2 linked regions of the Drosophila melanogaster genome follow. The protein of the gene in region 2 interacts with the protein of the main gene of each other region in a pairwise test. Each region holds a gene or a part of one and is shown on either strand. Other genes may lie near its edges.

Evidence for each region.
Region 1: the proteins of ERR (region 2) and sima interact in a two-hybrid assay, tested with the Drosophila melanogaster proteins (2 studies listed by BioGRID).

What each region holds. Positions count from the first base shown.
Region 1 is NT_033777.3:30,060,946-30,065,958, reverse strand, and holds the start of sima (uncharacterized protein), read right to left. Parts: upstream 3,038-5,013; 5' UTR 2,882-3,037; coding exon 2,421-2,881; intron 1-2,420. UniProt on the Drosophila melanogaster protein: Functions as a transcriptional regulator of the adaptive response to hypoxia. Binds to core DNA sequence 5'-[AG]CGTG-3' within the hypoxia response element (HRE) of target gene promoters.
Region 2 is NT_037436.4:8,182,814-8,187,463, forward strand, and holds ERR (estrogen-related receptor), read right to left. Parts: upstream 2,858-4,650; 5' UTR 2,777-2,857; coding exon 2,754-2,776; intron 2,409-2,753; exon of another isoform or gene 2,230-2,408; coding exon 1,671-2,229; exon of another isoform or gene 1,615-1,670; coding exon 706-1,614; 3' UTR 548-705; downstream 1-547.

The DNA.
Region 1 (5,013 bases), on a different chromosome or scaffold from region 2:
TAGTGGGCGAACTTGTATAATCCACGGGTGACGCCCATTTCAGCACGTATGTACATTTATTTCCTGGCATTTTGTTCAAAATTTGCCAACGCTGCTTTATTGATCCGCTGGGATGAAAAAAGACCTGAACACGTCAGGTGGTTCACTTGGGAAAATCTGCCCGGTAACAACGCGAAAATATCAAACTTTTTTGTTAACAAACCCTAAGTACCGCCTGTCAACGGAGGAGTCGCAATCATCAAAAGTCCATCATATCAGCCGACAAAGTCACAGTACAATATGATCTATTGTCAGTCTGCCGCCTGTCTAATAATGGCTTAAGTATCTATTAAAAACAGTATTCCCGTTTTCTTTTACTGTAAGTAAATAAATTGAATAAATCGAAGCAAACTACTTAGTTGTTGAACATAATCTTCTATTATGACATATTTAAATATGAGATAGGACCCCACTAATCGATCGATTGTAAACAGAGGAAATCTTAACATAAACAAATGCTAAACTTGACTTTGCACTCGAAAGAATTTCTATTATTAAAAGAGTATTCTGAACGCCCAGATAAAACGTTGATTAGGAAACTCTGTGAAAGTGAAGAAACAATGCATTCAAATAAATCAAAAATAAATAAAACAGAAACCAGTTTAGATAAGAGGGCTTTTCATTGTCAATCAACCAACTGATGGATGGAAACCAAAGTTTGAAGCGAAACTCGAATGGCTGCTCAAATAATTATTATATAGTATTATATTACTTCGCCAGCAAAGTGAATACTAATATAGGCGTAGACCCGTGGATTTCTATATATATTATATATGCATTAATAAACACAAATCCGATAGTTGCTAGCTCGTGGCCCATAGAAAGCGGCGGAGAGTGACTTTGAATTGCATGCTAATGGCCTGCTTAAATGGTGGGATATTCGCCGGGGGGGTGGGGTTTTGGTTTGGGAGGTATGCACATACATATATATATTTTCGATCGGCCCCATTGTCTGTTCATTAGAACAGAGGCAAGTACGGCATGTTAAATATTCTGCCTGCGCCAGCAGAATTGCCTTGTTATTGCCGCTGGTGCTGCTGCTGTTGTTGTTGCTAAGTATTTCCGCTCCAAAGCAGCTCAAAACACTGAACAAAATTAAGCTATAATATTGAAAGCACACCTTAATATGTGTACTACCCTTCCGTATGATGATTATAATGATGTAGTATGCTGATCTTAAGATACCATTTTCCGCACTTTGTGTATGAAATGAGTTTGAATATGCAAACACCACGATCGCCGCACGTGGCCATCTAAGTCCTGCTGGCTTATCCGACAACACCTTAGGATACTGACCCGCTGTTGTTTGAGTTTGAATTGCGAGCATTGCGAAATGTTGGCCAAGCTACCTCCAAGTGCGCCGTATCTCCGGGCGAGATATCAGCGAAAACACATAAAATACGACTCGAAGTGCTAATGCCAAGTTCATGGGACAGTAAATCGAGGCGCAACAGCGGGTCAGGGATGTTTGGTCTCTTCTTGGGAGCACCATATTGTGGGTGGAGTTCTTCGGGCAGCGCCGTCCTGCAATTGCGTCAGTTTGGTTTCGGCTCATTAGCATGGAGATGGGCCAGCCGAATTTGGCTTAAACGTGTGCAAAACGTAAATAAACCAAATCCGACTACCATTACGAAAACATTTGCTTGCTGCGCACGTTGCATGCAAAGTTTTCAAGGAGGTGAAGTCCAGGGAAAGGGGCTGTAATCTGCGTCAATCGCCAGATAATCGTATACATCAACCAGATGGATTGTGAAACCTTCAGCAGACCCCTAACGATAACTCCTTGGGAAATACCCCACATAAAATCATCGGCGGCAGATAACAATTACACAACAGCACAACTGACAAGCAATTTACTATTTCCACGCAACAATCGAAGTGAGAGAAAAAGTCTTTTCCAGCCCACAATCTTATAAACGGTACCTCTCTTGGGAATAACCCACCGAACCTTGACTCATACGACACCTCTCTCGCGCCATAGTTCCGTCCCCCTCGCCCTATCTTTTGCTGCGTATCTAAATATTATTATAAAAGCGATTCACAAATAAGCATAGATAAGTGCAGCGCCGTTTGCTTTCGGCTCGGGTTTTACAATGGAACACGGCCAATTTTCTAGGAGCTCAGCTCGTTCAGGTGCCTCCAGGAAAATGTAAATCGCTAGCGGCATTCGGCCACCGATTCTAACTGGTTTTTGTTTTGTTTACTTGAATGAGCTAGAGCTCTCCACAGTTATGTAACAACAATTATTAAGCAAAATTGTGTAAATATTCGTACTTGAATACTATTTGATAATGAGATTAAGGAATACCCTTCGTGAAAAACGCAAAATCACAGAATTACCCAAAACAACAAATTGACCAACCACTTTGGTCGTCACTCACATGAAATCCTCGATGTCGACAAACTGGGAGAACTGGCAAGGTTGAGTGTTCGTGGGCGCGTAGCCATAGCAGTAGGCGTAGCTCCAGGGGCGGCTTTCGCGACAGGGCGTGGCCACGTTCAGAAGCGATCCCCTCTGGCGATAGAAGGCGTCCTGGGGCTGCTGCTGATGGTACGGATGGTACCTTTGCATCCCAGTGGAGGACATATTGGGGCCGAGCATAGCGCCCACGAAGGGTTGGCTTCCGGGAGCAGGGCCATTGTAGAATGACCCGTTGCCAAAGTTCACAGTGGGTTCATTGATGGGCATTGGCCCAAAAGCTGGGCCATTTCTGCTCAGCTGCCGCTGCCGCTGCGGCTTGGAATCGCACTCGTAGAAACTAGAACCGGGGATCACATCTTCGCCGTAGAACGAAATGTCGCCGGTACACGAAAAATCGCAGCTCTCGAAGGAATTAAACATTGAGTGCGCTGGAATCCGGCTAAGCCCATCGATGATGAACACACACACGCGTGCGATAAGAGCTGATAGTGTTTTGATTTGGCCACAACTTCACTGCTCCGGATATTTTGGTAGAACACGACGTACGGGAGTTCGAGCGCTAAATGAGCGAAAGGTTCCATAGCCTCGAAGCCATCATATTTATACCTGGGCAGCCGCACCAAAAAAAATCGCAAAAGAGCGGAGAGCCGACGTGAACGTCATATTCCGTGTGCTATCAGACAAGTTTGCCTATCCGGACAAGTGCGCTCCGGCCGGAGTGATAAGATAAAGTCCGGTCCGCCCGCCTCGTAGAAGCATTCAGGTGGCAGGGAGCCAGCGCTTCGGTTCTGCCCAATGGGACGATAACAGCGAATCGAGTGAGTGGCGGATTCAAATTAGAGCCATATAAATTATGTCAGTGCGCCCCACTTCAGTCGATAATTGGCTCGGACCATATAGTCTACTTTGCAGCGACGCCGGAAAATTTCCGCACGTCCAGGACCCATTTTCCGCCCATTTCCCTCGCTCACAAAGTGCAGTGCACGGCAAAGTCATGTTATAATTTTAGAATCTCTGCACCGAGAAAACAGTGCCACTCACTTCGAAGTGAAAATTTGATATAATATTCCAAAATTTTGAGTATTTAACCGCAGAACTGATGAACCATTTTTAGGTATTTCGAAAACTAACCAAAATTCGCACACACAAAATGAGAAGAAATATTAGAGAATTGATCTTTTTCACTGTGCGAGAAAAGCTGCTTGGATGACTAAATACTATCAGACTTATCCATGATTTCCCTAGTCGGCCGATAAGAACTATAACATAGGAGTTAAATATTTGGATTAGTTTGGCAAACAGCACGGAAAGTGAAACGAGATAAGGGAAGCTAGTTCCCCAGACCAAGCAAACGTAATCAAATCGCAATGTAATCAGCTCGTGGAGAAGGCAAAGGAACAGGCAGGGTCAACTTAAATCACTACGATAACCCCTTGTTTACCTGTTTATGCTACACCCGTCTATCACTAAACTATTTCGATGTTTAAATGTATTTCATATAAAAAAACAGTAAAAGTAGTTATTAACATTGTGAGCTTCTTGGGCTTCTCTTTTTGCAGATTGCCAGGAGTCCTTGTGATCGTTAGCTATGGTCTCATCTTGCATCATTCAAGGACTATCTTATAGAAGGTCTGTCAATCCTTTAGGTTGCTACAGTAACACCCGACGACGACCAATTAATTCGAAAGATGTCGTAAGAAGTTCATTGAGTTGTGGCAAGACCAGTGGTTAATACTTAATCCAAAGGAATAGCTGTTTACAACAGAACATCGTAAAGATCTTATCCATTCCCAAGAAAGAAGTTCCTTTGTTCTTGTTAATGTTGTTAGCAAAAAAATGACTTCCAAACAGGTTTCGCAATAATCTTAATCCGAAATTTTTGCTCATTTCACAAAACCTGTGGGGAATTTTCAGCGACTGATTCCAATTTATCGCCTTAAATATAAATTTAAACTTTCCCTGCCAGCAATTGCCGAATCATAACTTACACCGAATGCGATGCATATAGACCTCACACGCAACTGAACAAACGAAAAAGATTCGGAAGCTGCGCTACCTTCACGCTGTCTCCCTCACTCCGCTTATATACGTCTCTCTCGCTGCATCAAGTTCAATTTCATACAGAGAAAGAAAATTAATAGACAAATATATTGAATATGGTACAGTAAGACTAATTTATCTTTTTCTAAGAGAGCGACTGAACTTCGGATTTTACTATTTGAAATTTGATTACCAGTTATTTTTTTCAGTGCTCCAGTAGCAAGCAAGAGTGTAAGCATGTAAGGAGAAGAAGGAGAAGATCAACAATAACTCCACGAGCCTAATACTTGAATACAATGCCATCCATCTTTCTCTTTCTCCCTACATATACAATATATATGTAGTAGCACCATAACACCCCCTCGGGCGTTTCCATCCTCCCCGGATCGTCACATTTTTAGTTCGATTGCGCAAAAAGTAGGTCGTCGTGGCCAGACATGAAACAACAACAACAACAACAATAACAACAGCAGGGCATATCATTTAAATATTTTACAATACACACATGCTTG
Region 2 (4,650 bases):
AAGGACCACAGAATACCTTTGTCATGGTTAATTTTTTGAAGTTTTGCGATATATCAGCCTATGTATGGATTAGGAAATAGTGATGTATAAATGCGATCAAATGCACTGAATTCTAGAAAACTAATTTGAATTTGTTTAGGAAAAGAAAATCCCCAAAGAATACAGAACTTAGGGAGTATGGAAACAACAGTTACAAACGGTTTATTATTCACGGACGACATTGCTATTCTTTTGACCGCATGTGTACCACATAGACACAGAATCACTGGGTTACATGACACTTAGAAACAGTATAATCCATTGTATTGTAGAACCACTATCGTATTTTAAAAGTGCCCACAAATTCATACGTTACATCAGAAGGTTGCGGCATATACATATATCAGAACCAGTGAGAATTGAACAAATTATTGAAGATCTGTGACTCACAACTTTAGACACATAACACCTATATGCGCCTTTAACCAGTGTAAGCACACCCCGATTCTAGAAGATAAGTAGGGTTTTCCAGTTGCTGTAGTTGGTAGTCCATTAAAAGAGATTTTTTCTGCGAACTAATCTTACCCGACAAGTATTTTACTATTTATATACATGGCTTATCCTACGCTTAATCTACTCTAGTATACATCCATATATACCTAAGACTATATTTGCACCTTTGCTTATCAGCTAGATCAACTAGTTTGGGCGCCCGCATAATCCTTTTCACCTGGCCAGCGGCTCGAGCATCTCGAGGAACAGTTTCTTCATGGTAATGACTTCATCGCGTGCAATTCCACGCCAAAATCTTCGCAGGATATCATCCGCCTGCCGCAGCGAAGGCAGCAAAAGCAGCAATTGTTGCTGATGCGACACGGCCGACGAATGACGCAGCAAGTAGACCACATCGTTTAGAGAATTAAGAATCGTATCACGAAATGCGCGCAGGGAACTCTGATCATCCAGCAGAATGTCGCAGTTGGCCAGCAGGAGCGCCTTTAGCAAGTAGTACTCCTCCCTTCGTGGCGATATTCTTTCCATGCGCTGTGCGATCTGGACGCAGTGGTAGTAGAACTCCGTGTAACCGCACTCCTTGGCCAAATGTTCATCCATCCAGACATCCGTGGCGAAGCATAACTTGCCATTGAACGGTAGGGACCGGAAGGTCAGCTGGAGCGTCAGGATCTCTGCCCACGACACCTGGAGAAGCTTCATCTGGTCGTTAAGTGGCAGATCTATAAAGCCAGGTATCTGCTTGGCCCAGCCAATGACGCTGACCAATTCCTTGTCGTAAATATCACTAAGGACGCTTAGTATCTCATTGGGATCATTGTTGTTGTTGTTTTGGAAAATGCAAGTCCCATTGGGCGTAACAACGCTGGACTCCAGTTTTATGCTGCCCGAGGAGGATGAGGCCTCATCATTAGTTATGCTAGTCGTGTGGACTTGCGGCGGCGGCGTTTGGACGCTCAAGGCATCCGGCTCATATGAATTGAGCACCTCCAGTATCTTGACATCGCACAGCGAGGTGGTGTTGGATTGGTATAGCAGCTGCATAGTCTGGTAAGAGTTTGATACAGGATTCCTTCGGTACTTCTGCCGTCCTCCACGAACTCGATCCAAGCGCACACCCTCCTGAAAAGTTAAAGCGATTAGAGTTTAGGAACTTTAACTCGGGACTATGAAATTACCTTGAGCATGCCCATTAGTAGACATTTCTGGAAGCGACACGCTTGGCAGGCCTTGCGTCTCCGCTTGTTAATCTCACACTCGTTGTTCGCCGGACACGTGTACTCGATGTTGCCTTGGATGGTGCGTTTAAAGAACGCTTTGCAAGCCTCACAACTCGCCACACCATAGTGGAATCCACTGGCCACATCGCCACAAACCAAACACAATCGGCGGAGCTCGTCCCTGACGGATCCCGATCCAGCTCCGGCACTCGCATTGGTCGCATTTCCACCACTCGTACCACCACCTCCTCCTCCGCCATTGCCGCCACTTGTACCACTTCCTTTCAGACTATCGCCATCATTGCTTAAGGATACATTGTGCAAATCGCAGGATAGAGAGGTCGTCGAGCTGCAGAGCTGCCTTTCCGGCGAAACCGAGGGCGAGGATTTCAGGCCGTTTGTGCCACTCTGCGTGGCCGTTGACTTGGAGCTGGGACTAAAGCAGGACGCCGATGGAGTGTCCACCTCCTGTTTGATGTGCAAGATGCTGACGCCGTCGGACATGTTCGTGCCTTGGCTGGGTGAGAAAAAAAGAGTTGCGGATAAAATAAGAAATATGTTTCAACAAGTTAAAGCCTTTGATTTGAACTTCAAGAAAATGATTGATTAGATAGAGGACTCGAGATACAAGGTTTAGGATAAACGATATGGTACGATATGAGGATCAACCCAAAATGCGGAGAGAAATGAACAAGTAAAGAGTTGAAATGTGGGAAAAACGTTCAATTTCGCCAAATCACCGCGATAAAGATCGCTTTAGTTTAATGTCAAATAGAACGCGCTGCACAGTGGTAAACATAGAACCCAAAAACGGGTACTTTACAATTCCAACGCTGTTATCTGGACTTATGAATGAGTAGTGCCATTGGAGCCCACAGTGCTGGGCTAGTCGCATGAAACCTGGTCACGGAATTCTTAATGAATGCAAAACGTAATTGTAATTAAGCCGCGCAAAAACCAAAACAAACGGCGGTCCGTCCAGTGCAATTCGAATGCGATCCTCGGATTCACAAGTGAACGTATGCAAGCTCTATAGCTTACCCTTCTCCCGCGTAGAACTTCATCGGTGGTCGTGGAAAAGTACGGGACAGAAATGAACTGAAATCCGAACCGCGCGCCGTGAGTGCGATAACAGCACTGTGCGTGGAGTACCTTCCAGCTGAAGGTACTACAAATCACGACGCACAGTGCTGACATTGATTAGGCAAAAGCGAAGTAAAATAAAATCGAAAAGGGACAGTGGTGGAAGCGAAGCTTTAATACCCTAACAATTGGCAACCAATTGGAATGCCAGCACTCTGACCTCATTATCAGCTAGGCACTGAACACGAGTCTATATTTAGACTAGTCATATACAATATACATAATCTGTCTGCCAGGAAATGGTCATATATCCCTACTATCGTAAAGCTCCTACAATTAGTGTGTTGCTGCACCCAGTCAACTCTGTGTCAGGGTATAAAACGCGCGCTAGCAAAGACAATGGGGGGCAGTAGTGGTGTAGTAAGTAGACGGCGGACGACATCGGCCAGGTTGCAGATGAAAGATAAGCAGCACTAAGCACTCTGCTCTTATCAGCCCAAGGGAAGCCGAAGCCAGAAGATTGTGATTGCGGCCCAAGGTGGGCCTGTCCGCCTCTGTTTACATACTTACATAAAATCGTTCTGAGGATCTTTTGTGTAATCAGCTCCACTGTAACAACGTCAATACATATCGGCCTCCTCGACCGTTAGCATGTAGTACTTGTTTTGGTCCGAGTTGAGCACCTTCTTGTTATTGCTTATGTATTCGTTCCTCAGCATTTTTCGATGCTCGAGTCATAATTGTTTATTCACTGGTCATTATTACTGGACATCGTGGCTTTTGGCGACCATCGGTTATTCAGTTGCACTTTCTATGAGAATGCAGACAGCATCTGCATCGATTTTGTGCGCCTGGATTGGGATTTGGATTTGGCACTCGGGCAAGGCACGAAACGTCACTCTGCGCGGATACGAGTCACATTGTTTGGGGGCTCTTTATTGTGAGCATGCTGTTCTCGCTGGTTTTCGTGCAGATATTTGCATATTGGAAAGATTGAAATGTAATTTTATTTTCTTTTTTGGTGAACCAGACCTGACCAGGGCTGGCAAACACTGAACACCTATCCAGGGATGCAGACTATGCTGGCTCGTGCTCACGATTCGGTGGTTCGCTTTTCGGAACTAAAACACTGCCGCAATTACTTTACAGACTTATTTCATTTTTTAAATAAAACTTATAGTAATGTATATAATCGTTTGCATAATGTTTTACTCTAAAATAACTAACAATGGCATTTAGTTTTATTAGTTTCGTGGTAGATGCTTATCCTGAATGCAAGTGAATGATTTTCAATATGTATGCAGCTCAGGTGCAGACGCAGCCCTTTCCAGCACTGGCGCATGCAACTCTGCTCTCGATTAGCACTCCCTGGTTCGCTCTGCTCTGTTGCTGTCCCACTTGCCTTTGTGTGGGTGCTGGTGTGTGTGCAAAACAGAGCAAAAACAATTGCGCGACAAGAAATCCAAATATCATTAAACATTACGTGGATTCAGTTTAATAAACGCCTTGCAGCCAACCACTAGTCAACAGCGGTGTCCTGCGTATATTGATAGGGCCGAGGCAGAGGTGTTAGCTATACAAATAGGTACAAATAAACGATTCTCAGTCACGTATGTACATTTCGCAAGCGTTTGGGTGTGTGTGTGTGTTTTGTTTGTTGTTGTTGCTTTTATCAGCAGCCCCAAAAAGTGTACACACACTAGTGCAAAGTTTGTTATTGTATTTATTAACATATATTTACTGCTTTGGCCCACGCTTTGTTTGCGCCATTCGCTATTCCGTAATGCGCCATCGGTAAATCGCGAGATCAACACATTTCCCTGGCCGAGCAGTCCGATATAGCTAACGATTTACG